2 linked regions of the Oreochromis niloticus genome follow. The main gene of each other region encodes a partner of the protein of the gene in region 2 in a complex. Links are inferred from orthologs where the notes say so. Each region holds a gene or a part of one and is shown on either strand. Other genes may lie near its edges.

Region 1 (10,880 bases), on a different chromosome or scaffold from region 2:
CTCATGAGCCAAGATGGGATCTGACCAAGAGATCAGTAGCTCCTAAAAGTCCTGTCGGATGTTCTCCTTGTTTTCGTCTCCCTGCTGCTGCCGGAGTTGAGTGACTTCGTTTTCCAGCTGAACGATTGCCCGCTCGATCTCATAGTTCTTACTGACCAGTGACACCCAGCTGTTGAGGACACAAATACACATGTTAAAACAGAAGGGAAACTTCCACGCGTCAGTGATAAAAACATAAACTCTTCCAACTACATACTTAGACTCCAGCTCTCTGAGTTTGGCTCCTGCTCCCAACTGATCGTTCTTACGTTGCCAGTTCAAATCCTGAATTTGCTTCCTGTGTGGCAGAACAAACACACAAACAGGTAAATATTAAAACACGTTAAACACCGTGTTTTGGAACAAAAAAGTTTTGAGGCAATGAACTCACCTGAATTTGTGAAGTTCCTTTTGTGCCATCTCAATCATGAAGGCCAAGTTGCTGAAGAAAAAAAACAAACACGACACGTGTTAGCAGTATTTCCCCACAGACATCAACACTGTGCAGACTGGATCTCGAGACTGTACGCACTCGTTGTAGGCCTTCCATGCGTTGGTTCCATACTGCGACATGAGTTCCAGGTTCTCGATACGGACCGCCTGGTGCTCCAGCTGGGCCATCGAGTTGTTCACGCACTCCTGCCACGCTGTAATGTCATTCTTCTGTCCTGATGAGGGCGCCGGCAACTCATACCTCAATGAGGAAAACATTTATTAAAATACTGGTGATCAGCAGTGCTAAACCTCTGCCTAGTAATAATGGATTGCATTTACATAGCGCTTCTAGGCACCCAAAGCGCTTTACAATTCCACTATTCATTCACTCTCACATTCACACACTGGTGGAGGCAAGCTACAGTTGCAGCCACAGCTGCCCTGGGGCAGACTGACAGAAGCGAGGCTGCCATATCGCGCCATCGGCCCCTCTGGCCAACACCAGTAGGCGGTAGGGTAAAGTGTCTTGCCCAAGGACACAACGACCAGGACAGAGAGAGCAGGGGGATCGAACCAGCAACCTTCCGGTTACAGATGAGCTTCCCAATCCCCTGAGCCACGATATCAACACGCCGATGGTATCAACTTGAAAATCCTACATTGTTGTGTTCTTCAATTATCGCTCTCACAAAGTTTTCAGAAAACTTGACCTCTGAAGTTGAGGTTGAGGTCACCGAGAATTCGTCTGAGATTTTTTAGTAGATGCACCTATGGTATCGTCTGCAGCTGCTATTCTTTAGTTATTGCATTCACAAACTTAGGTGTCCACGCTGCCTGTCCGGGTGACGATAATACCCAATCAGCCTTTTACAGCAGAGGGTTAAACTTTAACATGCGAACCAATAAATCAGAAATGAAGGCAGAAGAAAAAGCAGAAAAATACAGTTACCACGCAGTATTCCAAATATGTTGGAATACTATCCACAATGTACATTTAGAAAAACAACAACAACAAGAGCTGAGTTAACTGGCCTGTCCGAAAATGTGGACATCATTTAAGTGCCACATAAAATGTTGAATTTCTATTTTTTTCTTTCTTTTTTTTTTAATGTGGTGCCAGAATCATGTATCATGTGCCATGTGACTTGAACAGTTGTGTAATTAAAGAAGGGGAGGGATATAGCTACTACTGAAAAAGCAAGTCATATAAAAACAGTTTTTTTTTTTTTCACAAGAATCTATGAAATCCTGTGAAAAACTAAGTACATCCATTCTGCTTCCATATGAATTATGACTGTAGCAGCCAGATCATGCCAATCAAATGTAATTTATTAACTGATCATCAGCACCTGTGAGCACCTCTTTAAAAGCTGAAGTTTTGTCAGTTTGTTATAACGATGCTACAGTCCTAGCAACTTGTAACACAAGGTCAGATCGTGAAATGCTCAGAGAAACTGCAAAATGACCAGGGACTACATCTCAGACTCTACAGGCCTCGATTAGCATGTTAAATGTTAAAGTTTATGACAGTAAAATTAGAAAAAGTTGCATTTGAACAAACCAAAACACTTCTGTAACAAAGTCTTTTGAACAGAAAACCAAACACAGCACATCAGCACAAGTGTCTCACATCAACTGTCAAGCACGGTGGATTTTTGCTTGTTTTGCAGCCACAGGGCCTGGGCATCTTGCAGTCACTGAGCTGACCATGAACACCTCTGTATACGAAAATATTCTTAAGTCAAATGTGACCAACAGCTGAAGCTTTGGACAAAAACTCACAGGACTGCACAACAGCAGATCAACAATTTAAGAACCACATTTTGCATCGTCCTTGACAAACTTTAAATGAATGGTTGTGATCTTTGGGCCCTGAGACTACACTGCATTAAAAACATAACTTTACAGTGTAAATCAGTGAATGGGTGAACAGCCTAGAAAGAACTTAGAAGCAGTGTAGTAGGTTGACGATATGAACTCATCTCTCTTCCTCTGTGACAAATAAGCAAAAAGCTCAACTTGCAGCTAAGCTACCACCAGGCTCTTACAGCTGGCAGGATTTACCTCTTCATACTCAGGAGCTCCATCGGCTGCCGAGCTGCCAACCGCTCAAATTCATTCCTCATTATTTCTGTCTGAAGGGGGTGAGAACAAAGAAGAAGTGCCGTTATTTCCTTGTCAACAGCTGAAACCACTAAGAAGGTTTTAAACTGATGAGTTCATCACCTCAAAAGCAGAGAAATCAGGAGTAGGCAGGTAGCTCAGGTAGTTTTTTGTAGGTCGGTATCTTCTCGTCTCTTCTTCGACCAACGCTGCTGCCTGAAGGAGGAAACAGGATTCGTGTTTGGCACGGGGAATATTTTGCAGCCACTGGGAAATTCACTTGAAATGAATTGCATTAGAGTTGCACAATTCACTTCTTGTTACTCGACCACTGAAACACTTTGAGGTTCAGCCTTTTAATTAGGAATTCATCAGTTTAGAAACTGTGGGCCAATATTTATTGGTTAAAAGGTACACTTCTCTTTTTTTCATAAACATGGAAAAATGAAACAGACCTTTAGCGCACATAACTTCTGATAACAGACTGGGACTAGTGAAAAATCAAACATTCCCATTGCTACCATATTAAAATATTCTACTGCAACAACTTTTGACAAATGCAATATTATTCTTGAGCATGAAGGAGATCAATGACTGGACAAGTACAGTCACTGAGTCATTGAGCTGCAAGTTGAGAGAAGAATTTGAGAAGAAAAATAAATGTTGCTGTAAAACTGTTCTAGTCTAATGGACTCCAACTTACAGCAAATCAAGAAAACATTAAATACCGCTCACATACTAAGAGGATAAAATCCAAACATAGGCAATAAACACCCTCATATTTTTGTCAGATTTAAGAAAAATCATCAAGTGCTGAATGAGTAACTGTTTTTTTGCCAAATGATGCTGCACACACTGCCGTGGGAGTGTCAGAGTGCTTTTTTGTTGTCAGCTCTCCTGTTATGCCACTTTGGTGTGACTGTTGCAATAGCTGCTCTTACTACAGACTGCAGAGCTGCATGACACAAACGGCAGTAATCTGTCTACCTTAGATGTGATGAGAGCAAACTGAGGATCCAGGGAAAATGTCTTGATCAGTGAAGTGTTTAGTAATGACTACGAAGAAATTATTGAAAACACTGACACAAATATATATCAATGTGCAAAAGTCTTGAGCTACCCCTCATTTGTTTCTTGGTCATTTTTTTAAAAGTTGTCTGAAGCAACAGCTCTCAGGCTTTGTGAAGATCTTTCAAACGTTTTCTTTGGACACGGGCTGCTTTCTCACTAGTTTTCAGTGAGAAAACCCAACTTAAATTGTATCTTTAGATACTTTGTCACCAGCAGCCTCTTACAATAACATCTAATTTTTCCCCCCATTTCTTTTGTTAAATCTACAAAATAAAAATAAAAAATACAAAGAAAAACCCCGATAGAATCCATAAAATACTGTTTTGGGTCAACAAGTTGATTGCCAAAGAGCTGTTAAATGGAAATTTCGTATTTCTCTGCCTGTTGTGAAATTTGAAGAAATTGAACAAAACAAGAAGTGGCAGACCTAAGAACCATCTACTGTATCTGAAAGTCATGTCTTTCAGAAATTAGAAAAATATAGCAGAGACCTGACACCGGACCTGAGATACACATCTGGACCATCATTTGACCCATCTACTGTTCACTTCACGAGAAATTATCTCAGTAGAAGGGTAGCTGTCAAGAACCAATTCTTAAAAATGAGAAAAGGGAAGAAATTATTCAATGAATCTATACATCTATTTCGCTTTTTTATCTAATAAAATATAAAGAAGGGGTTTTTCAAGATTTCATTTAATCTACATAATAAAGACACTGTCCTGACATGCGTCTGGTTAACAGAGCACATTACCCAGCTTCAGAAATCAAACTTATAGTGTCCGCTGAAACATTGCAGTGTGGCATGTAGCATGGTTAGCTAACACGCTGTGGTTGAACTGCCCGTTTACTCACCGCTTCTCTCACACCTGCCGCATCGTAACCTTGGTCGAAATATGGCAGAGCATCTACAAACACTTCTCCAGCTACTGAAGCCGTCCCGGCCATTTTTAATCAGTCTATATATCGTTCACTTTATTGAATTGTCTCGCTTTCTGCTAAATAAACTCAAAACCCAAGTGTCCCTTTTCTTCTTCGTTAATTTTCGCTTCTTCTTTGAATCTGTGCTTTAGCGCCACCGCATGGTTTGGAGTGTTTATCTTAATGTTTCTTCTTTGAAGCGTGGAGCATAGCGCACATCGAAATAAAGCATGCCATGAATTCATAATTGAATCTGCAATAAAACATTAATTATTAAATTCCTTTTTTAATGTTCTCTTTTAATTTGTTGTGGATTTTTAATTTGTTGCGGTTTTTTATTTTGTTGTGGATTTTTAATTTGTTGCGGTTTTTTAATTTCTTGCGGATTTTTAATTTCTTGCGCTTTGCACTTCCCAGCCACCGTAATTAACAAAGTAATTCATTATTTGATCAATCAATAGACATTAAAAATACATATTTTCTACAAACTATTAATACATATGAAATATCTCTAACTGAAAAAGGGTTTACAGACAAATATATGAAATACTTATTAAAAAAACAGCTTGAAATTAAAAATGTAAAAACAGATTTTCAAAATAGTTTAAAAAATACAATTTAATAAGAGAAACAGGTCAATGGAGTTAAAAACTGAAAGACAAACCTTTCTGACATTTAAAATGATGATGCCATCCCTCATTTTTAATTCCATTTCTGTTCCTTAGCTATTGGATTGGCTATTGGATTAACTTCTCTATTTTGGAAACCCTGACCTCCTCAGCAGTATGTTGAGTCTAAACAATAAATCAATGATCTTATTATTATAGGATAATCTATTTGATTAGCTTCTCCATGTAACCTTTCCATGACTCTTTTGGTCTTTGTGAATAAAACAACGCCAATTAGCCATAGCAGAGTTGTGCAATCCTAACGTGACCCTACACAACTTGTTAGTACTCATATTATTTTACCAAACCTTTGATGCCTAAGCTTAAATGCTAGTTATTGCAACATACTGGACATTGATTGCTTACGTCCAACATACTGTGAAGTAAGAGTGGGATTTCCTCATTGGAGAGGGTAATCCAATAGCTAATAGGAAAAGAGAATGAATCGAAAAGGGAAACAAGCATTATTTTTGATTTCAGAAAAGTTTGTATTCCTAATTAAATTGAGGAATTCATTTACTTATTTCTATCTTACATTTTATTCTGTAAAAATTTGGAAAATCTGTTTTTAACATTTTAATTTGGAAATACTTTCTTAAATTAGTTTTTTATTGAGTGTTTCAATCTTTTGCTGTAAATTGCTTTTCATTTAGAAAGATTTACCTCCTGTTTTTATTGAACAATGAATTATCAAATAATAAATTGCTTTACTGATGCCTTAATAAATAGAATATATTAAAATGAATTTGTAAATTCATTTACTGGTGAATATTTTATTGGGCAATTAATTATTAATTCATGAAATGCTATAATAATGTGGGTGACTTTCAGTGGTGGTCCTAGCCTGTTTGGCGCCCTGGGCGAACACTCCCTCTGGCGAGTTTTAGCGAGGGACCACTGTAATTGTGAAGATAAGTCACAACATACCCTTCGTAAATACTAATATATAGAGACCCTTACCAGCAATCATTCATGTATTTTTTATATCCTGTGGCTTTTTTTCACGGTTTGTTGACATGCTGTGGAGGTGTGCACTTGACCAGCTGATATTTGGCTTTGACTCTTGTTAACCTGTAGTTTGAATACTGGACATTTCCCTCTTTAAATCATAAGAACTGTCACTATACAGAGATGTGCTTCTGAATGTGGATGATTCTGATTTTGTAATGCAGGTTTGCTTGTGTTGAGTAATGTAAACAACCAATCGATCTACACGCTTCAAACGTCAAAACTGATCATTTGATTTTTTTATGACACAGCAATGATGAGTGTTCCCACCTCCTGCTCTTTGTAACTTAACGCGATCTCTCCATTTTCCGTATTTTGGACATGATTTTGGAGTCCACCTTCGCAGTAGCGATTGACCGCAAAATAAAGTTACCGGAAATGTACAACCCTACATCCGGTCTTAAAACAGGAAGTTAGCGTTTTCTCGTGCACAGGGTCTATGCGGCCTTCAAATGCGTCCTTCATTTCCCTGGATTTTAAGGATGGGTCGGTGTAGACTTCATGGCCCAACATATCCCAGACTTCATAGCGCGGCGGTGGGTGTGGATAATTTTGCCGAAAAAAACGGCGGAAGCCGGGCGGCAAAACAGTAAACCTTTAAAAGTAAGTACTGAATATTATGTTACTTATTTATGTGCAAATGTTTAATAATGAAGAACATTAAAACATTAGCAATGTTAGTACTAACTTGGTTTTAAAGCCTTTACTTTAAAATATACGCCGCTCAATAGCCTTAATTTTACAGAGAATGTGATGATTTTATGGACAATTAAAGTCAGTCATATATCCACAAACACAACAAGCTGAAAGTCAGTGATGCTGCTCGGTTTGCAGTCCTGAATATCACGGCACAAGCAGGATTCACTGCACTGTTCATGTTAGCTGTGTGCTGCCTCTGTTCGGTGGAGTCGAGCCAAACGGACTTTAACGTGTGTTTGAACGAGGTGACGGTTCACTCGTTAAGCTGAAAGAAAGATGCTTTAATCACAGGAGTCACACATGTGTCCACTGCACCATCTGGGAACTCTTCTTGTTTAGCACTCGTAATAACACAAACACTAAATCCTCCTTCTCTTGTGCTGTTTTGTAGCAGTGTATACACCTGAGACTGTCACCTGTCTGTCTGTCCTGCACTCTTTCTGTTTCTTTCTCTCTGATTGTGGAATAAAAGTATGAACATGTATTTATAAGTTACACTTGTGTTTGAATCCTGCAGCTTATCACACATTTGATTTCCATGTGTGACAACTGCAAGTGTCCAGAGTGAGGACAGACTGAGGGACCCACTGCTGCACATCATCTGTGAGGCTTTGCACCCCTGATGATCCACCAGGACAAACTCAGCAGTGTGTGAGGAAGAGGAAGAGGAAGAGTCAGCAGCAGCTGACAGATGGAGAGTATAGACAGACTGTTCCCTGTTTGTGAAGGACTGCTAGGAAAGTTTAAAATAACTAATTGTCTGTCCTGAATCAGTCTTATTAGGTAATGTTCAAATAATTTGATCATTCCAGTGTTTTCAGTGTGGGAGAAAGTACTCAGGGCCTTTAAGTTAAACACTATGAAAGGCAGCAACAAGTTTAATATTCAGAAATCTGAAGTATGTATCAGCAGCAGAATGGAGCTAAAAATAAATGTCCATGTTTGTTTCAGTTCTATGAAGCTTTGAGTATTTTGGATTAGTAGTACTGCTGTGTTTGTTGCATCATATTGCTGTAATTGTTTATATGCTTTATATATTCTGAGGTAAGTTGATCTATAGTGTTACATCATATTCTATACTGTAAGGATGTTATGTGTTTGTATACTTTCTGCCCAGTTTGACCCATTTAGCAGAAGTCAGCCTGTTTAAGGCTCTGATATCTATTCTGTACGACTTACAGCAGTTATGACATGGTATGATTTTCTCACCCAATAAAGGAATATTTAATATATCAGTCTGATCTTCATTCTATCAGAAACGGTTATCACAGCTCGTACATTTTCTTTTTACACATATATGTAAGCATTGAGCCAAATTTAGTAATGCCAACATATTAAACTAACAATTGTCTCTTATATATAATACATCTATAGATACACTGTCAGAGATACTTGTCTTTGAGTGAAGATTTAAGGTGAAAGGAAATATAAATAACTGCAACTTGAATCTTTACTGAAGCTCAGTATTTAACACAGAGTTCAAGTTCACTGCTGTAATAACTAATAATGATTAATATAATAACTATAACATTGGCCATATTATATTTACATTACCAAAGTGAGATGACTTTAGTCTCATGAACAACATTAGCTAATTGTTATTTACTAGCTAACCTTAAAATAACTGTTCAGTACAGAAATGAAGCCCAACAATCATGTTTTACAGTCCTGTGGTCTCAGCCTCAGATACTTATTAAATCACACAGAGCTCATGTAGAAACAAACAAATGAACAAGATATGTTCTCCTTCATTTCTGTCAAACAAAGCTGTATGACACGTTTCCAGCGGTTAGTATCATGGTTGCTAGGCAACCTGGGCAGCGCGACGGAGGCTAGACCGTCCCATTTCACAAGCCTCGCACTTCCGGCCTTAGCGGTCTTTGGGTACGCGGCCCTTGAGGACCGTTAAGGCTGCGTACTTTAAGGCTGCAGACCCTGAATTGGGATACAACCACAGAGTGGCGATTTGTTTATCGGCTACTTTGCGCCAGAAAGAACATCAGCTGATACTACAAAGTAATATTAAATAAATTCTAACAACAGCTTATCAAGCTTGAACGTGCTGCTGTTGTTTAGCGCAACATCCGCTGGTTTCTGCTTTCTGGCGCAAAGTGGGCAATAAACAAGAGAGACGGCAGAAAAGCCGATCAGCTGATCAGTTTCATGATTGAAGTGGTAACAGGAGAGGGAGGGGGATAGAATGAGAGAAGAAAGGGCATTTGTGCAGCAAAGACACAGAATAACTCCAAGCTTTGTGTCTTTTTTTCATTCTAGCTGAAGTCCGGGACGAATCCCGTTCCTTTTCACCTCAATACGGATGTATTGTAATTGGTCCAGCCCAGAGTTCATCACGATCAAGTGGCTAATCCACCACACTTCATTGTTTATACCCTTACAAAAACAAACAAACATAAAAGTGAAAAATCAGCAATTTGGTATGCCCAATGGCCTGTCCAGCTGTGCGGTTAGCTGGTGGGTAACAGGCATCTCCAAAAACATTAGAGCACTTTTGCAAATATGTGAAGTCTTGATGAATTAAGCAGACATTTGAAGTTTACACAGCACCATTCTCGCATGAAAATATCTTAAAAGTTTATTTTGTGATCCAGAAAAAGTAATATTTACATACAGTTATTAAATTAAATAAAAATAACTACAGATAAGAGGCAAACCAGGTTGTAGTGCGAATCGGTTAATTAACTTATGGCAGTTACAGCGCAGATGTAAACATCTATGTTTGTTGGGAGCAGTTCTGATTGTACAGTCTGACAGCTGCGGGGAGGAAGGACCTGCGGAAACGCTCCTTCATGCATCTAGGATGCAGCAGTCTGTCACTGAAGGAGCTCTGCAGTTCAGCAACATTTACATGAATGGGGTGGGAGACTCTGTCCATCAGAGATGTTATTTTGGCATGAGTCCTTCTGTCTCCCACCACCTGCACTGGGTCCAGGGTGCATCCCAGAACAGAGCTGGCCTTCCTGATGAGTTTATCCAACCTCTTCCTCTCAGCTGCCGATAAACTGCTGCTTTGCACGCAGCAATGAATTTTGTTCACTCAAATTTAGCTTTTCTTCGCTCAAAATAAATTTCTTCTCAAAATGCAACACTTGCACCTGCAATTTTTTTTTACGTGGGCTCAGAATAGTGGCACAAAAATAACGCCATACACGTCTGCCATTAGGGAAGAAGGGAACGAAGAAAGTAAACTGGATGTCTGTAAAATTAACTAGAAACTTGTGAGGCGCTAAGGTATAAACACCTAAAGAAGATAGTCTCAAAAGGGAACACTAAGTTTCTAGTACCTGAGTAAAATTTATCACACTGCTTTTTTGTTTGTTTTCAATGAAGTGACCCAAATGCTTAAGCAAATTAAGGCCTGTTTCAAACATGAAAGGCAAGGGCATCAGGCCATGACGTCAGAAACTCTGACAGAATGTTCTTTGTGCGCGTTACCTATTTTCAATCAGCCAATAGGGAGCGTTGTTGTGGGCGGGGCTAGTTTCAAAGATGAAAGGCAAGAGAATCATGGGCTGACATCAAAGTCAACCCAAACCCATAAATAGCCAGGTGAAACCGCACACTGTCGCACGTTTCTTACTTACAGTCACGAGCGATTACTGGATGAACTTTTGTTCTGCTACCCTCAGTCTTATCTCAATATCGGATTCATTGTAACACCGTAGCTTTGTTCTGGAGCAGGAGAAGAAAGTCCTGGAGGAAGAAAATAAGAAAGTCCTGGAAGAGCAGAAAGTGGTGAAGGACACAAAAGAAATGGAGAAAAAAATGGATGAGCAGACAAAAGAATTAGAGGAGGCAAAGACAGAGACAGTAGAAACGGTAACCCCAGAGAGATACATCCTCCAGACGTATCTGAGCACAGATGAGATCAACCAAATACAGGAGACAAAGGCTGAAATATCACCATGGGAGAAAACA
Region 2 (11,024 bases):
ATTTAGAGTAAGGGATGGATGCAATTTGCAACTAAACTGTATACAGACTGAGACATGCTGCATGAGAGCATGCACACATGCCAGTTCTACAGTAGGTGAGAGTATGTTTGTGGTATGCAGTGCAGTCACACACGGCCGGGGCCACGGCAACTGAATAAACACAACCACCCCCATCCCCGCCTCCACCACCATGGCAACTACCGTTACCTATCTCCCCTCAAAGTTCATGTAAATGAGCTTTAAGCACCAAACCTATAGTTCAAAATATAATCATCATTGATTTCTAGTGTAAAATGTATGACAGGCTTAAAATTTAAAATACCTGGATGCGTTAAAAGCATTTCTTAAAGTAACACAGAGACAAATCACTGACAGATCTCTAACTCAGTTGGAAAAAAAGAGCAAAGCAAACATCTAAATGGACAAAGGAGGGAAAAAAATCTAATCATATCCGATGACTGATAGCACTTATGATGAGGACGGGGGGGTTAAAATATCCGGCGGTGAAGTGGTGCGTTCCCATTACGGCATCTCTCCATCTCTGAAAATGGCTTCATTAACAGGCCGGTGCCGAGAGCTCCCTAGCCGAGCGTACGAACGCGCAGTACCCCGAGGGTCCACCGGAAAGGCTGAGGTGAAGTCCATTAACACCCGACAGCTTGTTTTTTGACCACTAAATAAAACAAGATACTTTTTCTCTGTCTGCAGTATAAATAGCCTTTAGCTTAGGGGCTGGAGAGCACGAAAACTCTCCACTCGAAGTAGAAAATTAAACCCATTGATTTAGTGGTGTTGATCTGGAGGAAAGTGAAGATGTAAAAACCCATACGAAGAGCAAGGTCACGCAATATTCAGAAGCCAGTGGACCTTAGAAACAGCTTCTTATCAAAATTTATACAGAGGGTAGCCAAGCGAGGCTCTTTTGTTATTCATTAGAAGCAATTTAACAGCCAATCTTTGTTCAGTATAACTCCCGCTGTGGGCCTAATCAGAGCACAATTGAGTTTAATGTACTAAAGACAACTGATGTTTTTCCTACTACGTCATTCATTGTATCTTTTTCTGGATGAGCGTGTCAACTAAATGGCCTAAAGAGATGTAAATGTCTCTATCTTAGCAGTGGTAAGGGGAAATGGGTGTGATTTAAAAAAAAAAAAACCCTGCTCCCTGCCATATCTCATGACCTGTCTTGCTTTTCTGGCATACATTCTGACCCCTCAGGCAACCAGAGCCGGCTACCTCGAAGCCCATGACATAGGTCTTAATTTCCCAGCACTTACACTCCAGTCATGTGTCATTTGATGAAACACAACACCCCAGTTACCATTATTCGTCTGGATACAGGATCCTCTGGAATGTATCGGATTCCTGCCTCAGGGGGTATGCACCTCGGAAACATGGTCCTACCTCCACCAGCTACTCTCTCTTCCACCCTCCTCCCCCAGCCCCCTCTGCTTTCCATTCAGTAAAATTCCACTAGAGGCCTGCTTGATTCGCACTGCCTCATCGCCGATCAGCCTAGTACGCATCACAATAGAGGAACAGTTCATTGTATTGAGGGCAGTTTTCCTCCTTTGCGTCACACTGCCAGCTAAAGAGTAAACACCACGCTGAACTCCACCTTTTGTGCAACCAAAGTTGAAGCCAGGTCACACTGCCATCTGTGCATGAAAGCAGGTCCCAGGGCTCATAATGAAATTCAAATAGAAAAAAAAAACCCAAAACAAAACAAAACAATTTTGTGCTCTGGCACAACGAGGGTCACAATATATCTCCCCTCCCCAGAGAGCAACAGTTATACCATGCGGTACTCAGGCCAGTAGTACAGAGTATCTCTGAGCCACTGGCCTGCGTAATTCAGTCTAGGGAATTATGACAGTGGAAAATCATTTCCCCGGGCCGGGGATGGGAGGCCATGGCTAATCGTTCAGTAATCTGATCTGCCTGCATACTGTAGCATTCAGCTAGCCTAGCCAGCCACTCGCACATGTGGACACCCCTACCGCCTGCCAACTGTCTGGATGGACGCTAGCGCCATTCAAAGACAACTCTCCAGGTTTTCCCGAGGATTACAGATGCTATCGGATCATTTGCTAATACCCAGTTGTGCTGCGCTGTCTGAAATGTATTTACTTTGCTCCTGCTCTCCAATACGTCTCATGGTAGCCCAGCCTAAGCCCCAAAATGCCACCTCCACATTCCGGGACAGAAAAGACACATAAACGCAATCTACTTTATAGAGGCAACAGTGGCGCAATCTGCCTCTCGAACTCTGGCTTATTAATCCAAAGGCTTCATTTTAATGAGGAAACATCTGACTTTGTCTGTCAGACAGCAGGCTCTAGCTGGGTTTACGTCCAATTGCAGATTCCAGTATCTTGTGGAGCTAGTGGTGTTGTAGTAATATGTGAATAAAAACCATAGGGAGCAGCTCTGTGGCACAAAGCAGTGCTTATAACCAGCAGAGAAGGTTGAGGGTTGTTGAGGGGGGAGTTGAGTTTGGAAAGATGCCTGGCTTCAGCCTCACACTAAAGAGAGGTCTGCCCCCCACACACAGAGTGGAGCTACAAGGAGCAGTGACATGGAAAAATACAAGCGCTGGCAAGTTGTTGGGCCCTGCAGCTCCCAACAATTACTGCGCGTAGCTTTAAATGTGATGATAGTTACTGCATACAATTAAATTTACATCCGCCTCTACAAGGAGATAAGCAACAACGAAGGGCTGGAGCCTCTGATCGACAGCCGATCTCCCTCTGTTCCCTGTTAAAACCTTAAAATCAACAATGACATACAGCCTGTGATCATGCCTCATTCTGATAAACGCTCAAGACGCGCCTCGGTGACGCGATCTGTCATACAGCATCATACCCGCGCTATTTTATCAACCTGTGTATGTGTGTGTGCGCGTGTGTAGGCATTGTAGCCCTGCCGTGCCGTTTCACAGGTATATCTAAGTGAAAAGATGTTGATATATGATCAAATGGATGCGGCAGCAGTGGCAGCCTTCATCAGCCGAAAGCGCTAGATCACAGCATGGTTGGCAGCCAGTGGGAGCAGTCAGATGGAGGGTTAGAACAACCAGACAAACAGTTGGCACGGATAAATAGAACACAACTTAGGATCCGGCTTTCCACAAAATTTTGACAAACAAATGACAGCAACCTCACTCCTTAAAAAATATAATCTGCAAATGGAATAAGCCCCACTTTTTTTTCTCTCTCTCTCTCCACAGATGCAGGGTGGGACATTTGATAAACAACACATGGCTTGGGAATAGCAAAAAAGGAAAAGAAAAAAAAGTGAAGCTATGGTCAAATGAATCTCTTGATACATAAAAATCAGCAGGGCACCGCTTTTCACTTGCAAAAATTTGCTCTGCAGCTGAGGGGAAATGCAGGGAAAGTCCTTGTGACTTTGCCAAATACATTCTGAGCGTGAGTCACTGTTCTTTAGTAATCTCTTAGTCACTTGAGGTGCACACTTCCATGCTCCAACGCCCCAAGGCAACAGATTTCAGGCAGGTCTGGACTGCCAACCCCCCCTTTTTTCTCTTTTCTTTTTTTTTTTTTAAGTCTTTATAGTTTTTAACGGATGCGGTGCTTGGTGGAGGCATGCATTTGCTCTATTTTACGCCAGACAAGAGCAACAAAGCAGGCTCACAGAGAGAAGACACAAATCGTATCTGAGCCTTCCTTCTGTGCATGGCTGGAGCCCTTTTACAACAACCACCAAGCCACATGTAAACATATCAGAACCGGGTGCCTCTCTCGTGCACTTGAAAATGTCCCACTTTCTCAGAATAAAAAAAAACCTCATCTGGTTAATAATTTGACCTAATCAGCTTCACATTATTAGTTGTAAACAGTTAGTAAATTAGAAAAATACATAAACAAACACCAGCATTTAGATGACTCCTACAGGTATCTGATACATCCCATAATAGCAGCTTTTTACGAGCAAATTTCAAGAAAAAATATGATCATCTAAATCAAATGAAGTCATATTAAAGCACTAGTTACACTCCCGTGCTAATCTTTTGTCCGCCTCTTCCACGCGCAGCAGACACTCGCATAAATCTGTTTTTATTTTACGCACACTATCATTCGCCTTTTTAACCACAGCACTGTAACAGGTCTGCTGTTAACACTGCGGCCGGATAGTGCAAACTTATGGGAGGGCGATAATTTCTTAACACCGTACACACTGAGCCACAAAGTTGCAGAAAGCAGTTCTGCTCGGTGCCGAGCTGTGCCGCCGGGTCCCACTCGATAAAGGAATTCCCGTGAAAATCACGGAGCGGCTCTATCCTGAACACAAACTTCCACCCGACCCGCTCCACGACAATAACGTTAGCGCCTCGATCTCCGCTGCTACGTGGACGAGCGTGAAATCTGTGCCGAGGGGCCGCCACCATAATAACAACGCCGGGGCTTTATGTTCCCAGCTAGTGGGCAGAGAGAAAGAGAGGGAGATCAGGCCGGAAAAAAAAAACTGGCCTCATCTCCGTCTGCGCCAGACAACTAGCCTGGCCTGGGGAGACCGAGCGACGACGCTTTCGGTCGCCTACCAAATACAAGCAAAAACACCGCGACGCTCCGTGCGGTCGTGTCGATTTTCACTCACCTTGTCCGTGTGTGACGACGCACGGATGTTGTGCACACGAGGCCGGCCGGGTTGAATGTGGTGATTTAAGCGCGCCGGTCTCACGTCGTCTCGGTTTGCTGTCGGCCGTGATGTGGAAGCGGGCAGAGCGGACTCGGCTGGGAGAAATCGGGAAATGTGAGAAAGACCCTCTCTTCTGCAGCTCTGTGCACAGGCAGTAGCCCATAACTGTCGTCAGGAGGCGCCAGCGCGGCGCATTTTTCCTCCCTCTGATATGCGCATGCATGCAAGCTACAGAACTCCTCAAAGAAATCACTGTGCGATCTTGTTCCTGCAGGAGATTACTGCGGGAGCGTCCCTGCTCGACAATGCGGAGATTATTTGTCTTCTTGTGCTTCCACGTTTGTCGAAAACTATTTAAAATTGCACTTAAAAGTTTTAGATATTTTTTAGGCAAAGGGGTAGTTGAGGGAAAGCAATGCTGTGCGCAACAAGGAGCCAACATTTAGGTCATTTAACCGGTTTTGCATCAGTCTCTGTTTCCTTATAAGAATCACTTACACAGTGTTGAGTCATAGTGGCTTTATCACTGCATTACTACAGTTATCCTTTCAACCTACAGTATTTTCATTATCTTGTGAAGGGTATGTCTAATAGAATACTTGTAATTGCAACCATATTCTTAGTAATGCTTAATAATACAAAACATTTCACAGCAAACATCAATATCTTTGAATCATGTGCAATAAAACTGGTGACAATGGTCCAAAATAGCCTAAATAACAACCAAATGTCTGTCATGTCATGTGCCAAACAGATTCACACAGTACCAAGGCGATGATTCCTTGAAGCGGCTCTGTAACACGAAGCATCTGAGATGCGGCAGCACACCTACACGTCCTCTGACCTTGTAACTCTTGCGGTTGGTGATTTTAATTACAGGCCGGCTAAATCCGAGACAAAGCCGTCCTTCAAAACAACTTTGGCTCACGTGATCAAGGAGAAAGGGTCAGAAAACTCATTAGGACAAAAGGGCTGTGCCCAAAAGGTTTGCTTTGTTGTGCTATAGGGCAAGAGACTGCCTGTTCACCCCATTTGAAGGAAAACAACAGGAGAAGGCCAGTGGAAATTTCCATCTGCTCCCCTATTATGTAAATATGATTACTCAAACCCTCAATCATTAATGAATGGAGCCACCTATCTCATAGAATTCAACCAGTTTATACTTGAAATCCTAAATCTAAGTAAGAGATCAAAAGGAAAAGGACAACATGGGGATTTTCCACTCGGAGGTGGCCATAAAGAATCCCAGACGCTTCATCTTGACTTGCTGAAGGGCAGCTGCATGCTGCCAGTGCTCCAGACCTCCATCTAATCCCTGCCCTCTGACTCCACAACCTCGCTCTGACCTTAAATAAACATTAGGGACTTAGTTGCCATCTGTAATCTTCAACATCCTTTGGCCCACTAATTGGAGTTTCACACCGCAAAGACACCCTGACCTGAATCAGAGCAGGTGGACAGACAAACTATGTGTGTGTGTGTGTGTGTGTGTCGAGGACACAATTGGCTTACACAAGCTCTCACACATCAGCCAAGCAGTCTGTCTGTCTTCTGTTTTTCCCTGTCTCCGGAAATAGCACTTTGCAGCCTTTGTTTACAACAAATATCTCTGTATCAGCACCTCAGTTAAGCAAATAAAGCATTAAAGTCATTCTAAACCTCCCCACAGGTTGTAAGCGATATCATATTAGGTCACTGACTTTTAAGACTTACTCAAAAACACCAGTTGCGTTTTATGTTTTTGAGGTAAATTATTATTGTACACTGTCCCAATTAACAGTTCGTGTCATAGAGCCAAAGGGAAAAGCAAAAACACACTCAGGTTTACACCCAAGGTGCAGATGGACGAGTCACGGTTAGTATTTCTACAATGCTCACAGTTATTCTCTGATATTTACGTTCCTATTTTATTTTATCGTAAACCTGATAGTTTCTTGAAATAGAGCGACATCCTTAGGTGAAACGTGGCTATCTGGCCCGAGGTGCATTATGGGCTTTTGTAGTCTCGCAGACTACACAAGATTCCCACATCCCGCTAAACTAAACTCATCCTCAAACTGAGTCCTGATAGAACACATCTTAATCTAGACTCAAACCTAAAAGTAAAAACAGTAGTCACTTTAAAAATTTTCGCCAAGTGTACAGCGAGATCTGCAGGGTTGCCAGTTCTGCAGTTTTCCCGTAACTGGGCTAAGGTTAAAATGCTGCATTACCCCCCCCGGCGGGTTGAGTACAAATTATTGGTTAAGTAGACTCTTTTCGAAGGAGCTTCCATGTACATCTATAAATACAAACTCATTTTTGAAATGAAACAATTCATATATTAATATGTAGTTACATACATGTTTACATATCCCAGCAAACCGAGTCTAGCTCACATGTCATCCACGTACAGGTACTCTCTGCCGACCGCTGCCTGTACCGCTACCAGCTTTGGCTGCTGTGGGCGCCAGTTTTGATTGGCTATTGGGGTGGTTTTTGACGCAGAGACCTGGCAACCCGTTCCGGTTGCTCCACAGTCAGCAAAATGGCGACTTCCCTAGGCTCCAACACTTACAACAGACAGAACTGGGAAGACGCGGTACGTTTTATCGGGGTTATATGTTACCGAGTGGTTCCAGTGACTGATGTTAAGTTACATTTTATGAGTAAATATAATCGGGAAACACGCTAGCTTTTTACTAAACTATTCAGTTCTCTTGGTAGTTAGCCTTCCGCTAGCTAGCGGTAGCTAGTTGTAGAAGCGTGGCTGCTAGCTTCAATAGCTCACCTGTATACATCGTTGCTTACGATATTTTACGTTAGTTCATGAAACGTACCTGTTTCCGCTGGATCCAACTAGAGCATATTTTTAGGTTGTAGTAAAAACAACAGCGACTGAGCTCACAGCTATCATTGCTAACGTAATTTAATCCTGGGCTGTGTGATAGTTAACTGGCTACACCTATGAAGGCCAGCACTAGCAGGCTAACAATGCTAAAACGATGGTAGGCGGGTGAAAGTTTGCTTATATAAATGAATATAAGAAACCGAAAAAGCCACACAGTCCGGGGTGGCACCACTGTTTTGTAAAGTCGCATAAGCAAAGTGACATTGAAAAACCAAACCTTCTTGTTAGGCAGGTTTGACAGCGGTGTTGTGAAAATGTTAGAGAAAATTTAGTCTATAAAAATAGTCTTTACACTGCTGGGCACTATTTCAACAGTGATTGTTATATAAGGTCACAAATAGACCAGTCCTTAATTACTTATAAAGGAAACACAAAACATGTTTGTGACCTACCTAAAGATTATTTACCCTATAAGGCAACAAATCACTTTCCCTAATTGAGCTATGACACCACAGGACATTTATCCAATGTTAGTTTTGTTAAGACACTAGACTAAACTTTGCAACCCTAGATTATGTAGATGACGCTTCAGCCATAAGATCTGCTTATATTTAGATGTTTGGCTGATGCTGTCTGGGAGACGGATTAGGGCAAGGCCGTTTTCAGCACCCAGCACTCGGACTGAAACAGCATCCTTTAACAGATGGCAAAATAGGACCCATAGCGCTCCCTGTATTCACTCTTACCTGTACGTGTGCCAAGGTGCTCACAGCAGAAGGAAGGTGAAGCAGAGATGGAGAGCCAAGTTGGTCTGTTGAATAACTTAATTCAAGGGATTGTTGGATAAACCGGATTACAGTGCTTGATTTTCACAGTTCTTCTTTCTCCTCAGGATTTTCCGATTTTGTGTCAGACATGTTTAGGAGAAAATCCTTACATTCGTATGGTGAGTGAGTATCCCTGTGTCTTCATAGCAAATTCAAGACTGTTTTAACACTTTGTGTAGTGTTAATATCAGCAAATGTGCAAGTCCAAATATGTTCATGCTTTGTTTTACAGACCAAGGAAAAATATGGGAAAGAATGCAAGGTATGGTTTTTTTTCTTTCTTTCGTGTTAACTGTTTAAATTATAAATTGCCCACAGTATACAGGCCTGTTTGATGCATGTACAATGACAATAAAGAACTATTCTATTCTAATACGTTGCTCTCCGCCTATCAGATCTGTGCTCGGCCCTTTACCGTGTTCCGATGGTGTCCAGGAACACGTATGCGTTTCAAGAAGACAGAAGTCTGTCAGACCTGCAGTAAAATGAAAAATGTTTGTCAGACATGTCTGCTGGACCTGGAGTATGGTGAGTCTCTCGGACCAGCTCCTCTGGGTTTTGTCGCTGTGCAGATTTCATGAGCCCCTCATTTATGTAGTTCTGAGCGTAACCCTCCTGCCATCTCTTGTGTTTGACAGGTTTGCCTATCCAAGTCCGAGACACTGGACTCTCCGTTAAAGATGAGGTTCCTCGGTCAGATGTGAATAAAGAGTACTACACACAGAACATGGAGAGAGAGGTAAAAAAAAAAAAAAAAAAAAAAGCTCCTTTCTCATGACTGCAGTATGCTTGCACAGTGATAACAGTATTTACTGGTCCAATGTCTGATCCAATGTTTTTTAAGCAAACATAAGAGAGAGATTTTCCATCCATCATGCCTCTCTGGACTTTTTTGTTTACAGATAGCCAATTCCGATGGCACTCGGCCAGTGGGCCAGCTTGGTAAGGCTCCAAGTTCTAGTGATATGTTGCTGAAGTTGGCTCGGACCACACCATATTACAAGAGGAACCGGCCACACATCTGCTCCTTCTGGGTGAAGGGAGAGTGTAAGAGAGGGGAGGAATGTCCCTACAGGTGAGTGCCATGATGCTAGTCTCCATGGAGCCGATTGTTTCTTTCTTTTAATATCACCTCACATATATTAAGACATCGCTATGGGTTAGTTGAAGTGTCATATTATATTTATTGTTTTTCGGTTGCCCTCTTTACACAGGCACGAGAAGCCCACAGATCCTGATGACCCTCTAGCAGACCAAAACATAAAGGATCGTTACTATGGCATCAATGACCCAGTGGCTGACAAGTTGCTAAAGCGGGCTTCAACTATGCCCCGACTGGACCCACCAGAGGACAAATCCATCACCACTCTCTACATCGGGGGGTTGGGAGACACTGTTACAGATGGAGACCTCAAGTAAGCATTTCTGCTTCATAATGACCTCTTTTACAGCTTGCTGTGATAATTTATTGTTATGCCTCGATACCCGGGACAGCCGTGGCTGGAGGCATTGTGTTTTTGGCTGTCTGTTCATCCATCTGTTCCATTCCTATCTTATCTCTCTCATCTCTATTTAAATGTGGCACAAACAAAGATGAGCTGGTTAGAATAATACAAAATACAAATGTCTAATTATACTAAAATGATCATAGCGTATGTATCTTTGTATGCTCCTTATCGCCTCCAACACAAGTGTAGCAATCTTGATGAAACTTTGTATAAACATTGCCTAGGGCACTGTGAGTGCCAACATTTGTATGGCCTATAGGAGTATTTTATAGAAATCCCACAGTCGTTTATTGTTGTACATTTGACAGTTCAATTGAGCGGTGCAGTGTCAGAATAGAATGTTGTCACAATATAATGTATCATAGCATTACACTGTAATGATCGTAGCATATGTACATTTGTTCCTTCTCCGCGATGCATAGCAAGGGCGTTTGCCAGTAATACAAAATGCTGATGGGATGTTCTACGAGAGCAATTTGCTGACTGTTACTCAAAGAAATAATTCAGGAAAAGAAGAAGAGATTGTGGTCATATGTCACGTTTGGTCAGATTCTAAATTGGTGACACTAATCTTTCGTGCCTGCCTAATAAACTCTTCTAAAGCTTCCGCTACATGTATTATTAGGCTAGACAGCTGTTGTTGCCAGCTAGAGGGTTACAGCCACAAGCGGATATTGTTATTTCTACTTACTTTGTAAATTTTGCTGTGTTGCAATATTTTTATTTCACTATTTTGTGTATGATGATCTCTTATCTGTGTCATTGCAGGAGTCACTTCTACCAGTTTGGTGAAATCCGAACCATTACCATAGTCCAAAGGCAGCAGTGCGCTTTCATCCAGTTTGCCACGCGGCAGTCGGCTGAAACGGCTGCTGAAAAGTCCTTCAACAAACTCATTATTAACGGACGAAGACTCACCGTCAAGTGGGGAAGGTAAGAATCCGATCAAAAGTTAAACATTGTCCAGCTTTGTGAATATTAAGAGCAACACCAGAAGGTAATGAATCCATTAAAGAGGGCTCATAACAATGTGCATTACAAAACATCATTTTGCAATTTGATTCTTTTAAGCTTAACCCCCATAAACCCCCATCAAGGAGAGCCATTTAGGTGAAGATGTAAATTTTAAAAGTGATCATTTGCCATGTTTAAAGGTAACGCCCTGACACAATGCTCGACTCAAAATGTAAATGT

The links.
Region 1: rbm22 (region 2) and bcas2 share a complex: the UniProt entries of both Homo sapiens proteins name them as parts of the postcatalytic spliceosome P complex. The link is inferred for Oreochromis niloticus from reciprocal best matches to the Homo sapiens genes RBM22 and BCAS2.

What each region holds. Positions count from the first base shown.
Region 1 is NC_031984.2:28,670,292-28,681,171, reverse strand, and holds the start of bcas2 (pre-mRNA-splicing factor SPF27), read right to left. Parts: upstream 4,723-10,880; 5' UTR 4,597-4,722; coding exon 4,504-4,596; intron 2,794-4,503; coding exon 2,701-2,793; intron 2,610-2,700; coding exon 2,539-2,609; intron 734-2,538; coding exon 572-733; intron 482-571; coding exon 431-481; intron 338-430; coding exon 257-337; intron 170-256; coding exon 43-169; 3' UTR 1-42. UniProt on the Homo sapiens protein: Required for pre-mRNA splicing as component of the activated spliceosome. Component of the PRP19-CDC5L complex that forms an integral part of the spliceosome and is required for activating pre-mRNA splicing.
Region 2 is NC_031966.2:25,334,070-25,345,093, forward strand, and holds the start of rbm22 (pre-mRNA-splicing factor RBM22), read left to right. Parts: upstream 1-7,093; 5' UTR 7,094-7,192; coding exon 7,193-7,246; intron 7,247-8,387; coding exon 8,388-8,441; intron 8,442-8,554; coding exon 8,555-8,584; intron 8,585-8,717; coding exon 8,718-8,850; intron 8,851-8,960; coding exon 8,961-9,061; intron 9,062-9,224; coding exon 9,225-9,397; intron 9,398-9,536; coding exon 9,537-9,737; intron 9,738-10,598; coding exon 10,599-10,763; intron 10,764-11,024. UniProt on the Homo sapiens protein: Required for pre-mRNA splicing as component of the activated spliceosome. Involved in the first step of pre-mRNA splicing.